Linked DNA regions of Oryctolagus cuniculus. Each later gene encodes a partner of the first gene's protein in a complex. Links are inferred from orthologs where the notes say so. Each region holds a gene or a part of one and is shown on either strand. Other genes may lie near its edges.

The links.
Region 2: EIF3D (region 1) and EIF3M share a complex: the UniProt entries of both Homo sapiens proteins name them as parts of the eukaryotic translation initiation factor 3 (eIF-3) complex. The link is inferred for Oryctolagus cuniculus from reciprocal best matches to the Homo sapiens genes EIF3D and EIF3M.

The regions. Positions count from the first base shown.
Region 1 is NC_091442.1:113,766,103-113,772,088, reverse strand, and holds the start of EIF3D (eukaryotic translation initiation factor 3 subunit D), read left to right. Parts: upstream 1-2,083; 5' UTR 2,084-2,558; intron 2,559-2,686; exon of another isoform or gene 2,687-3,564; intron 3,565-4,223; 5' UTR 4,224-4,233; coding exon 4,234-4,356; intron 4,357-4,520; coding exon 4,521-4,566; intron 4,567-5,172; coding exon 5,173-5,309; intron 5,310-5,741; coding exon 5,742-5,827; intron 5,828-5,986. UniProt on the Homo sapiens protein: mRNA cap-binding component of the eukaryotic translation initiation factor 3 (eIF-3) complex, a complex required for several steps in the initiation of protein synthesis of a specialized repertoire of mRNAs.
Region 2 is NC_091432.1:33,317,847-33,323,869, reverse strand, and holds the start of EIF3M (eukaryotic translation initiation factor 3 subunit M), read left to right. Parts: upstream 1-2,297; 5' UTR 2,298-2,464; coding exon 2,465-2,506; intron 2,507-5,836; coding exon 5,837-5,969; intron 5,970-6,023. UniProt on the Homo sapiens protein: Component of the eukaryotic translation initiation factor 3 (eIF-3) complex, which is required for several steps in the initiation of protein synthesis.

The DNA.
Region 1 (5,986 bases):
GCTCCATGTGGGCCTCCCGTGTGGGTGGCAGGGGCCCAGGTCCTTGGGCCATCACTGCTGCCTCCCGGGGCCTGCACTTCTCAGGAGGCCTGAATCCGCGGCAGAGCCAAGACTCAGGCCCTGGCAGCCTGAGACGCAGGCTACGCCCAACGGAGAGACTGGAAGCTGGAGCAGGGGAGGGAGGGTCACTCCAGCTGCCGTGGGAGCTGCAGAAAGAGCAGCAACAGGGGGTCAGCTGGGAGGAAGGCCAGAAGCAAGACCCCCCCCCCACAAGCCCAGGGACGCCACCGAGAATCACGCAGGCTCCTTCCCTATGGGGGCGGCAGGCACATCTGGGCCAAAACACGGGAGACGATTCCACTCTGACACGAGACAGAGGCTGCGCAGACGGCCTGCAGCCCGCGGCAACACACACACCCTCCAAGCAAGTTAGCCAGAGCGTCACCCGCGCTCGTGGAAATTCGCGGTGGCCCGCATCCCACCCAGAGTGACACTCAGTCCTCCTTCAGTTCCCACAACTCCCCTACTCATTCAACAACGGCAAACACGCATCGCCCACCACAGGCTGCTCCGGGTCAGACAGAGGCCTGCCCTTGGGGCGCTTACTCTAAGGACAGGCAGCGCCCAGACTAGGGAGCGAACAGTGTTTCAGAGAGCGATGAGAACCCAGGAGGGAAGAGTCAGACGGCACCCGCCGTGGTGTAGCAGGTAATGCCGCTGCCTGCCACGCAGCCATCCCATATGGGTGCCAGTTCGAGTCCCAGCTGCTCCACTTTCAATCCCACTCCCTGCTAAGACACCTGGGAAAGCAAGGGGGGATGGCCCAAGTCCTTGGGCCCCTGCACCCACATGGCCCACCTGCAAGAAGCGCCTGGCTCCTGGCTTCAGATCAGCCATCTGGGGAGTGAACTAGCGGGCGGAAGACCTCTCTCTCTTTATCTCTCTCTCGCTCGCTCTCTCTGCCTCTCCTCTCTATGTAACTGACTTTCAAATAAAATGAATAAATCTTTTTTAAAAGGGGGGGGGGACCGGAGCAGCCACAGGAAACCCCCGCGTTTCTAGGCACAGGACAGGAAGCTGCTAGGAGGCTGCAGACAGGTGTGCGAGGCGGGAGCTGGGCCGGTCGTGCGTGGTGTGCTGGGGTTGGTGCAGTACAGAGGAGCCAGCCGAGAACGGAATGAGGGCAGAGAGAAGGACCCACCAACGAGGTCAGCAGGCACCGTTAACAAAAACCAGGGGACCTGGAAGATGCACGGGTGGGGGCGGGGGGGGGGTGTAAGCAAATGCCTGCGGTTCGCTGCGGCTCAGAATCGCTGAGCTCGCCTGTCTGAGTAATGAGACGCAGCCTCTCTGGACCAGCCACTTAATCATCCTCGTTTCACAGATGAATAAGCAGGTCCAGAGAGGCCAAGTTCACCCAAAAGCTAAGTGGAGGCAGATCTTCCCCTCCCCAAACGGCCACAACAGCCAGAGCTGGGCCGGGCTGAAGCCAGGAGCCTGGAACTGCGTCCGGGTCTCCCGCGTGGGTGGGGGGGCCCGAGAACTTGGGTCACCCTCTGCGGGGAGCGGCACGGGGAGCGGAGCAGCCGGGACTCGAACCCGCACTGCCGCGGGATCCGCGTCGCTAGCGGCTGCGCGGCCCCCGCACACACCCCACCCCCTAAGGCTTAGAGAAGGCACCTCGAGCTTCCCTCCCCGGGACACGGGCTGCGGGACTAGCGGGACCACCTGCAGGACAGGGAGGGTCTGGGGTTGCCTGCCTGACGCCCTCGGAGCCGACGGGGCCGCGGCTCCCGCCTCGCCTCCGCAGCTCACTAAAACAGTCCCGGGCTCCGGCTGAGCCGCATTTGATTAACCATCCACGGATACCACACCCGGAATCTGAATTTGTTGTGAGAAAAACTGCGATGTCACCATTAAGTCCGGTAACTGTGGAGTGAGCGGGTGCACCCTGGCGGCCACCCCGTAAACTAGCAGTCCGAACTGAACCGTGCGGGCGGGCGTCCAGCTGTCAAACACGCGGGAGGAACCCACGCCGCCCAACGCGCTCCACCCAAGCCCCTCCGCGACCGAACGCCGCAGTCCCGCGGGCAGAGCGGCCGGAGCCGCGGGGCATTGTGGGACGCAGAGGGGCCGACGCATCCCGCGAGGCATTGTGGGACACAGCGAGCTGTCAGCCGCTCTCCAGCCTCCAGCTTCGCTCGCCATTGCCCGGCCGCCACGTTTGCCACTGGGAACGCTCTCTGTGAGCGTCCCCGGATGCCGCCTGACGTAACCGTAATCACCCCCTTAGGCGACTTGAAGCCTCGGAAGCTGAGGATGCCTTCGAAAGAGCAGTGACGGATTTCCGGGTGTAGCCTCGCTTTACGGCTTGGGCGTTCCTCCGCCCCAATCCGGGGAAAGCAGGAGAGCAGTTTACGACAGCGACGGTCGTGTTTACGGCGCCGGCAGCTGCGTGCGCATGTTCCCTCCTTTCCCGGTTCCTCCGAGTGCCCCTGGAATTGCCGTCTCCGGCCCGGACCATCTCTCGCCATCCGGGCGGACCGAGGCCTTTGCAGGTGAGCGGCGCGTTTCTCTGGGTCCTGCGGACCTCTGGAGCCCGCTCGGGCTCGTCTCGGCCTTTGGGGTCCTCCCGGAAGAGAGACTTTTACGTCCTCTCGTGCCGCCGCTGTCCCTCCGCTGGGCGGGGCGTGAATCTGCCCGCGGGGCCCTCGGGCCCGGCACGGTTTGGGGGATGCGGGGCGCGCGCTCTCTTGCCCAGGAGTCGGCGGCGCGCCCCCCGTAGTGGCGGCAGAAGCCTAGGACGATAGCCCGCGAGCCGCGGGGCCGCTTCGACTTCCCCGCAGGGTGCTCCCGCCGAGCCCAGCGCCGCTGCGTGGTCTGTGCTGAAGGCGAGGACCTCGGGCAGCTGGCGCGCGGGCCCCGGCTCTGTCACCTCCGGAGGCTGCGGGCAGAACCCGATCTCGCTGAGAGGCTGCGTTTGGGGGCGTGTGGTGGAGAGCCCCGGATGTTTTCCGGGCTTGTGCTGCCCAGCTGGGTTTCTGGCAGCAGCCTTGCCAACACAGTCTGTCCTGAAGCCGGAGTGGGTCGACCGCTTGATCTGGCTGAGCCGGTGACGGCTGGCTCCGAACCGGCCCCGGGCGCAGCGTTCCTGAGACCACCGCCCTCTTCCGCCCTCCTGTAGCTTAGTTGGGGTTCAGATTTGGGGGCTGAAGCTCCCAGGCTTCCCCCGCCGCCGCGGCCCAGATGTCACCTCTGGGGCAGCCGGGAGTGTACCCCGAGTTCCACGCGCAGCTTTTCCCCGGAACCTCACCTGCTGCGGTGGAGATAAGTGCGTGGGTTTGGGATCGGACGTGTCTGGCACACGTGTGCAGAGCCCTTGGTTTTGGGTCCTGGGAGGAGCCGTGACACTGCAGGGCGAATGGGCGCAGGAGCAGGGGCCGGGCGCCGTCTCAGTCTGCATTGTGACTTCCGGCCATCTCTGGCCTCTGCCTCGGTTTTCCTATCTGGGAAGTGGGGACAGTGCCGGCACCTGCCTCGCCGGGTCTGACGCGTGAATTCACGGTGAGACTGAGACCCGGTGCTGTGGGTGAGCATCGAGCGCAGGGCTCCTCGGGGCCTTGGTTGGCGCTGACCCCTGGGCCTTCTGCCTGGCGCTGACCACTCGCTCTGCGCGTGGGCTTTGCACTGGTGGCAAAGACTCGGGACAGGGCGGAGGAAGCTGAACGTCAGTGCCTGCTGGAGGACCAGGGATCCTCAGTGTCTGCGCACTCTGCATCCTAACTGTGCGTGTTCACGGATGGCGAGGCTCGGGCGGTGGTCCTGTGACACAGTCCCCCTCCGCGTGTAGTCGGGGACGTTGGGTGCCGCTGCCTGCCTCGCTCGAGGTGCCTCGGGGCCCAGAGGTTGTTACTCCCGTGTCGGATCTGTGGGGCAGGCTGAAGCCGGGAAGCACCTTGACTTCATGCGTCGCTAAACTGCCGACTGAGACGGCTGCCCTGCCGAGCCGAAGGTGCTCCGGCAAGCCGGGTCCGAGAGCTCATGGTTCAGGGCAGAGGGTAAGCCGGCGGTCTCCGGGCTTGGGCCTTCACCATGTGATGGCCGAGGAGCACGCAGCCGTGGAGTGCTCCGTGCTGTGGGCTGCGCCTTGGGCTCTCCGGTGTGTGCGTTCCTTCCCGTGACGGAGGGATTTCACACTCGCCATCGTCTGTGTTCCCCGTAAGGTCCGAGAAGATGGCGAAGTTCCTGACGCCCGTGATCCAGGACAACCCGTCCGGCTGGGGCCCCTGCGCCGTCCCCGAGCAGTTTCGGGACATGCCCTACCAGCCCTTCAGCAAGGGCGACCGGCTCGGGAAGGTGCGTGCGCCCTTGCGTCCCCTCGCGTCGGGAGAGCGGCTGAGGAGGGCGCTGAGCCCTGGGAGCCGTCCCGGGGGAGCCGGGGGCCATTTCTCCTGGTGCTCTGCCGGCCGAGTCCCTCGTCCTGCTTCTGGCTGACCTGAGCGCCCCCTCTGTGCTCCTAGGTTGCGGACTGGACAGGGGCCACGTACCAAGACAAGCGGTACACAAGTAAGTGCTCGCCCGCTGCCGCCGCGCCAGGGCCTGCGGGCGCCAGTGCCTCCTTGCTAGCCTTCCGGAAGCTGTGTAGACGGGAAGGAGGTGCCAGAGGTCGGCTTGGCTGTGGTGCAGCCATGCACAGACGTCTGGGGGAGGCACAGACCCTTGGGGACGTCTGTGGGACACGTCCCCGTGCGGCAGTCCAGCTTGGGTACTGACCACTGAAGCCAGTCGGTGGACTGCAGGTTCAGTCTGGTTTTCAGACCCCAGTGGCGTGGAAGGGGCTGCCCAGCGCGCCAGGCTCGGGTCAGGGCTGCCGGGTGCCGCGGGACGGGGACGGTGCTGCCTGTGCCCGGGATTAGTGTGTGGTCCCTCGGATTCTCCCTGTAAGGGGCGGGCGCCATTGCATTCCTCAGGCTCTGTCTGGCTCAGGTCTTCAGACCAGAGCGTTCAGACGCGAGTGTGCGTGTGACCTGCTGCTTGCGGCTGCTGGGCCTGGGCCTGGCTGCGGGGCTGCACGCCTCACCAGCTGCCTGCCAGGCCCGAGGCCCGAGGCGCGCTTGGGCGAGCAGGCCTGAGTCCGTGGGGCTGCCCGACACGCTGTCCCTTTGCCCCCAGATAAGTACTCCTCTCAGTTTGGAGGCGGAAGTCAGTACGCCTACTTCCACGAGGAGGATGAGACGAGCTTCCAGCTGGTGGACACGGCGCGCACGCAGAAGACTGCCTACCAGCGGAACCGGATGCGCTTCGCACAGGTGGGCCAGCGGCCTGGCCGAGCGGGGCCGAGCCGCCAGGGCTGCTGCGTGGGAGTTCTCGGGGAGGCGCCTGTGCTGGGTCCAGGCACGCGTTTCAAAGCTGATGGTGGCTGACGCTCGTAGGACGACCTCCTGTTTGCTGGAGGAGAGCTGTGGCCTGCCCGCAGCCCCACTAATTGCTGCGTGCGGGCTTTATTGAGGAGCTCTTCCAGTCGGGTTGCGTCTTCACCGCGTAGAGGCCAACTGGGCCGCTCTAACGAAACGCGGGGAACCTGCTTCAGAGAGCAGCTTGTTGTGGGACATGCATCTAAGCGCCCACCCTGAGGCCCCCGCGGCTGCATCCACAGAGCGCCGTGTCACGCGTGGAGTGTCGCGTACTCTGGCGAGCGCATGGCCACGATTTTAACGAGGTTGTTTGTCCTTGCCGGCCAGCGGAACCTCCGCCGAGACAAGGACCGACGGAACATGCTGCAGTTCAACCTGCAGACCCTGCCCAAGAGTGCCAAGCAGAAAGAGAGGTGAGCCCCTCCCTGCCGGCACTCGGCACTCGGCAACCACGGGCCAGAGCGGGAGACGGCCGTCCTCCCCACCGCCGCCAAAACGGGACTTCCTAACGCCTGACCCCCGTGATGCCGCCTTCCCAGCCTGTCATTCCCCAGGGCCGGAAACGGACTGCT
Region 2 (6,023 bases), on another chromosome or scaffold:
TCAGAAATCAGTTAACTATGTTTTCATTTATCTCGGTGCTATGTTGTTCCTTTGACCTAGGATCCATATGCCAACATCACACTGTCTTGATTTCTGCTACCAATTTGCATTCCCATAAGCAATTTATTAGAGTTCTAGTTGCTCCCCATCTTCGACAGATCTTAATATTGCTAGTTAAAATTTTTCTTTGTAGCTATTCTATAACTGTGTAGTTGTATCTCATCATGGTTTGAATAAGTTGCACACTGACTTGTTTACTTACCACAGAGTTTTGCACCACTTTTTCATGACTGAATTTTCGATAGTCTCTTTAAAAAAACAAGCAACAACACTGTCTCAGGTGTGTCATCAATGCCTCCTTATGTTTTCTTGCCTTTCCAGATAAGAGTAAGGCTTGCAATCAATGTAAGTAGTTTGCTCCCAAATATTACAATGCAGGGACTTAAATTCAGGACAAACCTTTGGGGTCACCTTGACTTCCTCTTTCTCTCACACTCCATATCTGATCTGTTCGCAAATCTTACCAGTTTCACCAATACAAAAAAAATCCATAATCCAATCAATTTCCCATTCGCACTCCACCATCCACTCTTGCCTGGCTTTCTGCAATACTTTCCTAACTGGTCCCTCTGCTGATCCACTTTAAGTCAGTTTCCAACATGCTTGCCAGAGTGATCGTTTATCAGAGTTATCCCTTACCAAGAAAAAAAATTAATCACCTCACACCAACCAAAATCCATCAGAAGCTTCCCGATTCCTTAAGAGCTAAGGCTTAAACTTTTACTGTGACCTACAAGCGCCTCCACCCCACCTGTCAATGATTAAGTCATCTCCTATCGCTCTCCCCTTACTCAAACCGTGCCCACAGGTCTCCTGGCACCTGCCTCAGGCCCTTTGCCTTGCTTTCTTTTACATGAAAGCTTCCCTGAAGATCTGTCATTACTTTTTCATTTCCTTCAAGTCACAATACATTTGAGTCATTTTGATTACTCTAGCTAAAAAGGCGCGAGTGGCTGTGTGCGTGGGCACACCCACCTACCTGCACACCTTTTCTGTGTTTATCTTTTTTTTTTTTTTTTTTTTTTTTTTGACAGGCAGAGTGGACAGTGAGAGAGACAGAGAGAAAGGTCTTCCTTTGCTGTTGGTTCACCCTCCAATGGCCGCCGCGGCCGGCACTCTGCGGCGGGCGTACCGTGCTGAACCGATGGCAGGAGCCAGGTGCTTCTCCTGGTCTCCCATGGGGTGCAGGGCCCAAGCACTTGGGCCATCCTCCACTGCACTCCCTGGCCACAGCAGAGAGCTGGCCTGGAAGAGGGGCAACCGGGACAGAATCCGGCGCCCCGACCAGGACTAGAACCTGGTGTGCCGGCGCCGCAAGGTGGAGGATCAGCCTGTTGAGCTGTGGCGCTGGCCTCTGTGTTTATCTTAATAGCGCTACGTAACGTGTCCCACACAGTATTATTTAATAAGAGCTAATACCGTGCTCACCTGTTCTAAGTGCTTTCTACTTTAATTTGCTTATTCCTCACAACCCCATGAAGTTGTCAAATTGAGCAGTGTGACCTGAGGATGGCCCCTCTCCTCCAGGCCTCATAAGAGGAACTGCCAAAGGACTACGTGAAAGACTTTAGTACACTCTTACACCAATCGAAACTGAGCGTCAGGCAATGTCAGGTGATCACCTAACACCAATAAAGCAAAGCACCTAGCTGTTGCCAATCAAGGCGTCTGTCCCTCATTTCCGTTCTCTGACCATAAATGCTGCCGGACCGAGCTACAGGCCAGAGCTGTTCTGGTTCTGAGGGCTGCTAAGTTTCCAAATCGTTCGTTGCTCAGCGAAACTGTTAAGCTGAACCTGTCTTAGGGTTTTTTCCTTCGAACCAGGTAAGTACCCAAAGGGAAACGCAAACCCGGAAGTTTATAGGCAGTGGCCCTCGAGCGATGCAGCTGGGATTCCATCGCTTGAGTCCTTGCTGTAAAAGCACGATGCACCCTGGGCTGCCTTCCGAATTCCTTGTTAGCGGTTTGCGTTCCGTGTGTGCCTTCAAATGAGAGTGGCCTGCGCGAAGGCTGTCTTGGGGCCGCCCAGAGCGGGTTCCACAGCCTGGGCGGTGTGGACACCGAGGCAGGGCCCCGCAGCTGCTCCTGGCAGTTCTTGTTCTCGCACAAGTCATTTTCACTGCCCAATAGGCTTACACTTGCAGGGCTCAGGATGGTGACACCGCAGGGAGGAATCCCGGATACGAAGCCCAGCAGGTCCCGCCCACGAGCCCCGCCCAGCGCGTCCGCCACGCCCCCAAGCCTCAGCTGTCGTACGCCCTGGGATTGGCTTCCGCGGCCCTGCCCCACTAGGACCCGGGCCCGCTGACCCGGAAGCAGTTTGCGGAGCCGCCGCGCGGCTTTGCTCCCTTTTCCGGTCGGCGTGGTTTGCGAGTGGAGCGTCCGCGGTTCCCGGGCCTTCGCCATGAGCGTCCCGGCCTTCATCGACATCAGTGAGGAAGACCAGGTGTGCTCCCGGGCGCCGCGGGTGCCGCCGGGGTGGAGTGGGGGGGGGACGTCTCGGGCGTGAGGGACCGCGGCCGAGCTGGGGCCGGGCGGACGCGACGCCGCCCTGCGGAGCCCACTCCGGGGCGCCCGTCGCGTAGGTGCAGGCGTAGAGAGGCGGCGAGGCAGGCGGGGACACGCGTCCCGGGGCTGCTGGCCGGCGAGGCCCGCCAGCCCGCTTCCTGGTCGGCGTCGGGACTCTGCTAGCCTGCTGTCGGACGGCCGAGAAGTTTCTGACGAGGAACGGTGTCTGCTTCCGTCTTCCGAGTGCAGCAGCCGCCGCCGCTGTGGGAGGTGGCGAGTCGGTAGCCCACAGGAGCAGTCCGGCAAAGGTCATCGCGTGGTGACGATCAGAATGCATTTGGGGTTGTGCAGTCACAGAGGCAGGGCTGGCCCGTGTGTTTTCACTCGTCCTTGTGCACGAGTGGGAATTGTTCTGTAACCCTGTGCAAGTGTCCGCTCCATAGCGCTTAGTGGGCGATTCTGATATTTTTAAATTGACTGGAGTTTGCTCTTTGATGTGCAGAGCCGATGTTTACAATTTCCCCCGTAATAAAAGTTTAGTTGGTGGGAATTAAACCCAACATGCCATTACATAGTCTTTAATTTTTTATAGCTAACAACTCTGTGAAGTAGTATAAGCTTGTCATTTTTTTCTACTACTAGAATGTGGAAATTTTGTTTTTCATAGCTTCATTCTGATCTAACATCTAGAATTGTAGGTAGGACTTTTTTTTCCTCTCATGGTAGGAATGCAGTCCTACACCTCTGAAAAGTAAGAAGGGGATAGATAAAGCAACGAGAAATGCCAAGGGTAAGGAGGGAGGTGAGCACAGAAAGGAAAATGAAAGACCAAAAAAACCAAGCATTTTGCCAACAATCGGCTGTTAAGTTCCTGAAAAAGAAGTTACATACATACTGTAAGGAACCTGATGGAGGAAGTTCTTGTCATTGATCTTATTTTAAGTGGCCCTTTTTAAGGCTCTGCTACTGTTCTTAGAACGCATCCGTTTCACACCAGCTGTTCCTTTCAGGAAAATACCAATTCCTTCCAGAGTTCAACTGCTCAAATTTTCAGCTTGGTTAGAGTTGAAAAATGGGCAGTTCTTTCCCTGTACTTGCTTTCCGTTGCTTGTACTGGTCCATAACCACTTGTTAGCTAGTGAGGATAGCATAAAAACAGTAAACTGTTCAATAGTTCTCGGAAAGTTTGCTTTTTTTTTTTTTTAAGATTTATTTCTTTATTTGAAAATCAGAGTTACACAGAGAGAGGAGAGGCAGAGAGAGAGGTCGTCCTCCATCCGCTGGTTCACTCCCCAATTGGCCACGACGGCCGGAGCTGTGCTGATACAAAGCCAGGAGCTTCTTCCAGGTGTCCCACATGGGTACAGGGGCCCAAGGACCTGGGCCATCTTCTACTGCTTTCCCAGGCCATAGCAGAGAGCTAGATGGGAGGTGGAACAGCTGGGACTCAAACTGGCACCCATATGGGATGGCAGCACTGCAGGTCGGCGTTAACCCGCTGTGCCACAGTGCTGGCCTGGGAGAGTTTGCTTTCTGTCTACAAATTAGGAAGTGAACAAATGCCTTTAATTTTATTTCAATCAAATTGTATGTTTCCTTCATGAAGAAGCATGCATTCTAGTATTTAAAAAGTTACTTTATTTGAACTGTGCAGAGGGAGGCAGAGATACTCTGTCTATTCACTCCCGGAATGCCTGCAACAGCTAGGACTGGCCTAGGTCAAAGACAGGAGCCTGGAGCACAATCCAGGTTTTCTAGCTGCCAGGGTGCCATAGACTGCAGCCATCTCCTGCTACTTTACACAGGGAGCACGCCAGCAGGCAGCTGGGCCAGAAGTGCAGTCGCTGGGACTCACAGGCACTCTGGATGTGGGTGTCCTGACTGTTGGGGAGCGTGCCTGGCTGTTCAGTCATATTTTTGTTGTCTCTGATAATGGTGATACTTGTTTTGAATCTTGCTTGTAATACAACTCTTATGTTAAAGGATAGCACTATTGGATCTACAGTTTTAATGTATTTTTGTGGGGTTTCTAAACGTACTTATGGGGTTTAAAAATCATGGTCTCCCCCTGTTTGTGTGTGTAATCTAGAAAATGTGATACTTGCACATTTACAGGTGGTATTCTTTCATCTGCCTGTTTGACTTCTTCATTTTTGTTATCTTAAAAGCCATCTGAGGCCGGCACTGCAGCTCAATAGGCTAATCCTCCGCCTTGCGGCGCCAGCACACCGGGTTCTAGTCCCGGTCAGGGCGCTGGATTCTGTCCCAGTTGCCCCTCTTCCAGGGAGTGCAGTGGAGGATGGCCCAAGTCCTTGGGCCCTGCACCCCATGGGAGACCAGGATAAGTACCTGGCTCCTGGCTTCGGATCAGCGTGGTGCGCTGGCTGCGGTGCGCAGCGCGCCGGCTGGGGCAGCCATTGGAGGGTGAACCAATGGCAAAAGGAAGACCTTTCTCTCTCTCTCTCTCTCTCTCACTATCCACTCTGCCTGTCAAAAAAAAAAAAAAAAAAAAAAAAAGCCATCTGGATTCCTGTTTGGCAACAGTAAACACCAAGCTCTCAAAGGAAGGCATTGGTAGAGATGTGTAGGTACTATGTCTGGATGACGTCATGTGGTATGGGACCTGTGCCTTTAATATATACAAAGGGGCTTTCTGGCCTGGGCCTGCATTTGGCATTTGTTTCATAGATGTAATTCGACACAAATATTGTATTCAAGGCAACATTCACAAGCATTATCTTTTTATATCCCCCAAAATGCTTTATCTTGAATAGATTCTCAGTACTCAACATATCATTACCCTCTTGCTTAGAAAATGTCTATAATTTTTCTAGTACCTGTGTTTACATATACACTTGAACAATAAAAGATTCATTACTTTCCAGAAAAGTTGAATTTACCAAGTCACATTGGTTTCTTCTCTCTAGTCCTCCCCCCTCCCCCCGGAAAAAAAACCTGGATTATATAAAGGCTTTTGATCTATACTGGAGGTCCGGCAAGGTGCAGGTGAGACCAAAGAACCTGGGGAGGTGATCCCTGTTGGCTGCAGGGTGTCTGTGGAGCCCTGGGCCTGGTGGAGGAGGAGCCCTTCACTCTAGCCTGAAGTGAGGTGGTAGTTAAAAGTACAATTTGTGCATTTTAGTTGTCCACATGTAGGAGAGACTTGGTTTGAGCTTTTGGTGGTCATAATCAGGTTTCTAGATACACACATTGTATATTTCCTTCTTAAAGGCTGTACAGAGTAATACAGCCCTGCTTGATTCCACAGGCTGCTGAACTCCGTGCTTACCTGAAATCTAAAGGAGCTGAGATCTCGGAAGAGAACTCAGAAGGTGGACTTCATGTGGATTTAGCCCAAATTATTGAAGCCTGTGATGTGTGTTTGAAGGAAGATGATAAAGGTTTGTTTCTTAACTTCCTTGTATCTCTTACTAATCATAACCTAGTTTTCAGAT